Macaca fascicularis: one gene and its partner. The protein of the gene in region 1 purifies or fractionates together with the protein of each later gene. This does not show direct contact. Links are inferred from orthologs where the notes say so. Each region holds a gene or a part of one and is shown on either strand. Other genes may lie near its edges.

Region 1 (3,814 bases):
GTTTCACCATGTTGGCCAGGCTGGCCTCGAACTCCTGACCTCGAGCGATCCACTTGCCTCAGCGTCCCAAAGTGCTGGGATTACAGGCGTAAGCCACTGCAACTGGCCTTCTCAATCCTTTAGCAAAACGTGAAGAGTAAAGAACTGCCATGGGCCAGGTGCAGTGGCTCACACCTGTAATCCCAGCACTTCGGGAGGTCAAGGTGGGTGGATCATGAGGTCAGGAGATTGAGACCATCCTGGCCAACACGGTGAAACCCCATCTCTACTAAAATAAAATAAAATAAAAAAATTAGCTGGGCATGGTGGCGCATGCCTGTAGTCCCAGCTACTCAAGAGGCTGAGGCAGGGGAATTGCTTGAACCCAGGAGAAGGAGGTTGCAGTGAGTCGAGATGCGCCACTGCACTCCAGCCTGGCGACAGAGCAAGCTGCCATGATCACTCCATTTTGAAAAGAGAATAAAAAACTGTCATTAACTATCAAAATCGTCCAGGTCCAGCTTTTTACCACAGCTGTTTGCCCAGTTTTAGTCTCAACTTTCAATGGCCTGAGGGAAGAGTCCTCTTTCCTCTCCTGGAAATTTGTCCTAAGAGATCAGAGTGGTTCTCTAGAAATACATATTCTGGCTCTGGCAAGAAGGGCCAGAGGCAACAGGCATCACCTTCTTGTTCAGTTCGATGTTCTCCAGCACCTTGATAGCCTGGTAGTAATCTCCTAACAGGGAGTGCAGGCGGAGGAGCCCCACCAGGCTGAAGTAACCAAGCATTTTGTAGAGGGAGTGCCGCCCATACTCCCCAGCCACACTCTCGGGGTCACCTGAAAAAGAGAGACACCGTGAATACTCTGATAGGAGGCAGGTAAAGGCATGTATACCTGACCTCTGATTGTTACTCAGTAGGCATCTCACCTACTGCCAGCCTTGAAAGCTTCCCTCAATTGGGAATAACTTCAAAGGAATACCACGAAACAGCAAAACCAATCTTATGCTAATCTTAAATTTACCAATATTTGCTTACAGGGTGGCAGTTCAGTCTGCTTATTTTTTTTTGGTCCCAACACATGAAAAGGCCCCTCTCATCAGTAAAATACATCCATGAACACTCCTCCTTTCAGAACGCACATGAGGTCAAAGCTATTTTCCTAATAACAACACTAAGATGCTACTTGCCCTTCCCACTAAGTTGAATTTTACATGATGCAAACGCTATGTTGGGTAAAATTACTGTTAACTTAAGCATAAATCAGGTAGCGACACAAAATTGTACTGATAGTCACTGTATTGTTCCTTGCCATGCATTTATTTGCACTAAAAGAACTAGTCCTTAGCCAGGCATGGTGGCTTGGACCTGTAATCCCAGCTACTTGGGAGGCTGAGGTGGGAGGATTTGCTTGAGCCCAGGTACCATATCTGAATAACCAGAGTTTGTATCAGTTTTTGTTGTTGTTATTTGTTTGTTTTGAGACACAGATCTATGGAAGTGCTACTGCATTTTGGCCTGGGTAACAGAGAGACTCTGTTCTTAAAAAAAGACAAAAAAAAGAAAGAAAATCCTTTTTTCATGGAGTATCATTTTTACTTGAAAGAACAACTGATACACAGCTGAGCGCAGCTCATGCCTGTAATCCCAGCACTTTGGGAGGCCGAGGTGGGCGTTATCACTTGAGGTCAGGAGTTTAAGCCCAGCCTGCCCAACATGGTGAACCCCGTCTCTACTAAAAATACAAAAATTAGCCGGGTGTGATGGTGTGCACCTGTAGTCCCAGCTATTGGGGAGGCTGAGGCAGGAGAATTGCTTGAACCCGGGACGCGGAGGTTGCAGTAGGCAGAGATTGTGCCACTGCACTCAAGCCTGGGCTACAGAGCAAGACTCTGCCTCAAAAAAAAAAAAAAAAAAAGGCCGGGCGCGGTGGCTCAAGCCTGTAATCCCAGCACTTTGGGAGGCCGAGACGGGTGGATCACGAGGTCAGGAGATTGAGACTATCCTGGCTAACACGGTGAAACCCCGTCTCTACTAAAAAATACAAAAAACTAGCCGGGCGAGGTGGCGGGCGCCTGTAGTCCCAGCTACTTGGGAGGCTGAGGCAGGAGAATGGCGTGAACCCGGGAGGCGGAGCTTGCAGTGAGCTGAGATCCGGCCACTGCACTCCAGCCTGGGCGACAGAGCGAGACTCCGTCTCAAAAAAAAAAAAAAAAAAAAAAGGCGGGGGGGGGGGAAGGGCACACATTTTCACAAAAATGAAGTAAACCTGTCACACCTCAAAGAAAAGAACTGACAGTGTTTGCTACCAATACAACAATTCAAAAGTTGGGCACAGTGGCTCACACGTGAAATCCCATGAGTTCAAGATCGGCCTGGGCAACAAAGTGAGACCATGTTTCGTCTTTTTTTTTTTTTTTCCTTTTTGTGGAGAACGGGGTCTCGCTATATTACCCAGGCAGGTCTCGAACTCCTGGACTCAAGCTATCCTCCCGCCTCTGCCTCCCTGAGAGCTGGGATTACAGGCGTGAGCCACCGCGCCTGGCCGTGAGACCATGTTTCTATTAAAAAAAAAACCAAAAAAACAGCCAGGAATAGGTGCACATCTGTGGTCTTAGCTACTCAGGAGGTTGAGGTAGGAGGATCACTTGAGCCCAGGAGGTCGAGGATGCAGTGAGCCATGATTTTGCCACCGCACTTCAGCCTGGGTGACAGAGTGAGACCCCATCTCAAAATAAATAAAAATTCAAGCTATTAAGCAAAAATGGAATTTTGTAAAACTTGTATCTGCCACTACAAGCTCTGTAGCTGACGAATAAATGCTTACCTGATATCAGTGGCAAAAGTAACAAATGTGACTTTTTCAAAAAAATGTAATAAAATGTGTTAACATTTGGAAGATCTTTATAACTCAGTGAACCAATTTTTTTTTAAAAATCACACATGGCCAGGCACAGTGACTCACGCCTGTAACCCCAGCACTTTGGGAGGCCGAAGCAGGCAGATCACTTGAGCCCGGGGGTTCAAGAGCAGCCTGGCCAACATGGTCAAACTCTGTTCTACTGAAAATACAAAAATCAGCTGGGTGTGGTGGTGCGTGCCTATAATCCTTCCTTTCTATATCCTGGGAGGCTGAAACAGGAGAATTGCTTGAACCCGGAGGCAGAGGTTGCAGTGAGTTGAGATCATGACACTGCACTCTGCCTGAGTAACAGAGTAGATTCTGTTTCAGGAAAAAAAAGTCACACATGGATGTAAGGAACTCATTCAAATTACAAGAGTGACCAATAACGTTAATATAACAAAAGAAAAATTCACTAATACAGTTTCAGATTCCTCACTGCACCTAATCTGTATGAAACTACCAATGGTTATTTCAAAGTACAGGGTGAGTATACTTCTATAAATGCTTGTGACCAGAAGTGTTCTGGATTTTGCAACTTTTAATATCCGCATACATCTAATGATATATCTTTTTTTTTTTTTTGAGACGGAGTCTCACTCTGTTGCCCAAGCTGGAGTGCAGTGGTGCCATCTCGGCTCACTGCAACCTCTGCCTCCCTGGTTCAAATGATTCTCCTGTCTCAGCTTCCCAAGTAGATGGGATTATAGGTGCCCAGCACCAAGCCTGGCTAATTTTTTGTATTTTTAGTAGAGATGAGGTTTCACCATGTCGGCCGGGATGGTCTTGAACTCCTGACCTCAGGTGATCTGCCCGCCTCGGCCTCCCAAAGTGCTAGGATTATAGGCGTGAGTCATGGCACCTGGCCCTAATGAGGTATCTTAAGGATAGGATTCAAATCTGAACATAAAATTCAATTATTTTTCATATATG
Region 2 (3,814 bases), on another chromosome or scaffold:
CCAATAGTATGTGTTCTCAGCCGTCTTTCTGTCCTCTAGCATTCAGCACTGTCCTTGACACCTAGAAAATTCTCAAAATACATCTGTAGAACTAAACTGTCAATGTCCTGATGACGACTAGCAAAGCGCCCAGCTCGGAACATGCTTCTACCCTTAGGAAAGTGCAAATCTGACTGAGATGAGATGATGAACATGGGGGAGGCATTTAATTTCACACAAGTGGAGCACAGGAGGGCCTCTGCGGAACACCACCTTTTTAAGTGTCAGGCGAAAGCGAAAACCAAGGCAGGTGGGACGGTCAAGGGCGGGTCTTCTGGAGGAATCAGGGGTCGAGCCTTGCAGAGATGTGGTCTCCGTGGTCAAATGACCCAGCAGGTCTTCACTTTAGGAATTTGGTTTTTCTCCTGTGTCCACCTGTCCTTCCCTTAACTTTCAAAGGTGCTGACTGGCTCCAGGGAAATCTGAGACACTGATATCTGGTAACCAGATTCACCTTAAATAAATGTGTGCTTCTAATCATACCAAACCATAAGGCTGACCAATGGGTGTATGTTCTACAACTGCTATGGGTTTAAATTAAGGTTGGTTCTTGGAGGCAAGGCTGACTCTTTGCAAAGCTTTCAATTAATTTTGTTGTCAATATACAGCTGACCTTGAACAACATGGGTTTGAACTATGCAGGCCCACTTCTAAATGGATTTTCTTCTGCCTCTGCCACGCCTGAGACAGCAAGACCAACCCCTCCTCTTCCTTCAGTCTACTCAATCTGAAGATGACAATGAGGATGACCTTTATGATGACTCACTTCCACTTAATGAGTAGTAAATATCTTTTTTTTTTTTTTGAGACAGAGTCTTGCTCTGTTGCCCAGGCTGGAGTGCAGTGGCACAATCTCGGCTCACTGCAAGCTCCGCCTCCTGTGTTCACGCCACTCTTTCTCCCTCAGCCTCCCGAGCAGCTGGGACTATAGGCGCCCGCCACCATACCCAGCTAATTTTTTGTATATTTAGTAGAGATGGGGTTTCACCGTGTTAGCCAGGATGGTCTCGATCTCCTCACCTCGTGATCTGCCTGCCTTGGCCTCCTAAAGTGCTGGGATCACAGGTGTGAGCCACCACGCCCAGCCTATTTTCTTTTCCTTATGATCTTCCTAGAAACATTTTCTTTTCCCTAGCTTATTGTAAGTATACACTATGTAACACATAGAACATACAGAATATGTGTTATTGACTGTTTGTATTATCAATAAGGCTTCTGGTCAATAGGAGACTATCAGCAAACTTTTTGGAGAGTCAAAAGTTATACGTAGATTTTTGGCTGCGTGGGACCGGGGGCTGTTGCCCCTGGCCCCTGCGTTGTTCAAGGGTCAACTATGCTCCTGCCTTCCCTCTCGGTGTCCTCCTCTCCCTCCCCTCATTCTGTTCCCTGCCTTTGTCTCTTCCTAAAAGATTAGGTTTGCCACCTGTTTCCCTGATAGAAAGTGTTCATTTCTGGAGCATTAGCTGAATAAGTTAGAGATTAAAATTCAACTATAAAAAACTCAGACATAAAACCTGTAAGTTTCCTGTTTCTCCTCAGCTTTCTCTGGAAAGGTCACACCCTTTCTGGCCTTCCCATCTCTGTTTCCCGCATATCACCTGAGGCCTCCCTGGCCTTCTCCCAGCCCTTACCTGGACTCGGGTCCACAGGAACATCTGGAATCTTGGGGCCAGGGCGGCGCCAGTGGCAGGGCTCCTTCCCTTGTTCAATCTGGGAGAGGACCTCGGGCTTGGAGATGGCGTAGTCTGAGGAAAGACAGAAGGTTAGTTTTTGCCATGTTCCAGTCAGAGCTGGGAACAGTCAGCCCGGAAAACCAACAATAGTCTAGAAACGAAATCTCTTGATTGTCACAGAGCAGGAGCTTCCAACTGCAGGCAATTTTGCTCCCCAGGGGACATTTGGCAAAGTCTGGAGACAATTCTGGTTGTCGTGCCCAGGGCTGGGGGAAAGGTGATTGACATCTGGAAGGTAGAAGCCAGGGCTGCTGCTGAACATCCTACAATACAGAGGATGGCCCCCAACACACAGAATCACCTGGTCCCAAAATGTCAACAGTGCTGGGGTGAAGAAACTGCTGCAGAGCACGCATGTTACACAGCAGTGCACTTGTGCTGACGAAACATAACCTCACATCTGCACCTGCTCCTGTCCTCTCTAATAGGCCTCGCTGCCCTCGGCTCCAGGGTCACACAGAAACCATCGGGAAGAGGAAATCAGCCCAGGAAGAAACAGTCTGGGCCCTTCCTGGGCAGGATCAAACAAGGAGAGCAGCAGTAGCCCCACAGGCTGAGGGAAGCAACGTTCTGAGGCGTGAAGACAATGTCTGCCGCAAGCAGCACCGTCTGCCCATGTTCTCCACTGACCTCCAGGCAAGTTGCCATAAGGGCCATGCATGTTTGTAGGAGAAGACTGAAAGAAAGAGTCTTTCTCTAATGTGAGTCAATTACATACTGGATCTGAGAGCAGAAGGGGCCTTCCTGCTCCAAGTCAGCAAGAACAGAAAGGTCCACACCCTGGGCCTGCGTAGGAGAGAAGCCACCGCCTTTCCCAGCCTGGCATTCTGGGAAACTCAACACAAGGAGAAGGGAGCTTTTAACTCCATCACCCAGGGCTCATCTTTCACAAAAGATAACAACTTGCAAAGTCAACAGTGTTTTTGGTGATTTACATATCACTGTCATGAAAACAACTATGTGGAAGGAGAAGTTTGAGGACTTGCAAAATCCTATTTAACAGAGAAATGAGTGTCAGGTCTTACCCAGGGAGACCAGTGTCTCGTAGTTGCCCCTCATCACATGCTTGTAGAGCTCCTTCTGCCAGTCCTCCAGCTTGCCCCACTCCTGCTCGGAGAAATACACGGCCACATCATCAAACGTCACGGGCACCTAGAACCACAAGTGTCACACTCGCTCACCCACACGCTCACGGGTTTGGCCACTTGATCTCCCCAACCCCAAGGAATCCCAGGGCTACCTTCGGGGACTCCCCCTTGCTGCCCGGGGGCAGCCGCAGGATCCAGAAGTTCCTGTTGCGCAGCAGGTTCTCCACATTCTCCAGCCGCCTCTGCAGCAGCCCGTACTCCTGCAGCAGGGTCCCCAGCACGGCCCACTTGCCCTCCAGCTGGTTCCCGAACTCCACAGCTGTCTTCTCACAATCGGCCAGCTTCTTCTCAGCCATCCCAGTTCGACCTTCTAGGGAAAGCAGGCGAGCAGCCTGCGATTCAATCTTCCTCTCCATGGCCTGAATCGTGGCTGCCATCGTCCACGGAGAAATCTTTGAGAAACAAAAGAGAAACCGGCATCATTCATTCCACCCACTGACTTCACTGAGCCCCTCTCTCACTAATATGTGTGGACAAGTGGGGCTATCCCGTACCACATGCCAGATCTCAGGCTGGCAATCACCTGTTTGGGTATGTTAGGTCTATGTCTGGGTGGGTGCCTTTACTCCAGGCCTCTGCAGCACAATGCAGACCCTTCTCACGGTGCTTACCCCCCTACACAGTAATTTCCTACCCACGCCTATACTGTGGGCTCCCTGAACATGGTATTGCATCTTTTCATACCACAGTCCTTGACACATGGCAGGTACCCAGTGCAATTTTGCTGTGTAAACAGTGACTTAGCATTGCTGGGCATTTTAGTGGAGAAATGGTAAACTGCAGATTTACTAGAGCTCAGCCTGCACCTCCCCTCATGATTACACAGGAACTGTCTACTGATGATGACCCAGCAAAAAAAACAGCTGGTTCACTGAAACGGCACAAACAAAAGTA

What was found.
Region 2: the proteins of EIF3L (region 1) and ZNF746 purify together in Homo sapiens (affinity purification with mass spectrometry; 3 studies listed by BioGRID and IntAct, counting the BioPlex papers as one, with this or other methods). This does not show direct contact. The link is inferred for Macaca fascicularis from reciprocal best matches to the Homo sapiens genes EIF3L and ZNF746.

What each region holds. Positions count from the first base shown.
Region 1 is NC_088384.1:13,745,932-13,749,745, forward strand, and holds part of EIF3L (eukaryotic translation initiation factor 3 subunit L), read right to left. Parts: intron 818-3,814; coding exon 663-817; intron 1-662. UniProt on the Homo sapiens protein: Component of the eukaryotic translation initiation factor 3 (eIF-3) complex, which is required for several steps in the initiation of protein synthesis.
Region 2 is NC_088377.1:191,152,218-191,156,031, forward strand, and holds part of ZNF746 (zinc finger protein 746), read right to left. Parts: intron 3,313-3,814; coding exon 3,013-3,312; intron 2,925-3,012; coding exon 2,798-2,924; intron 1,785-2,797; coding exon 1,671-1,784; intron 1-1,670.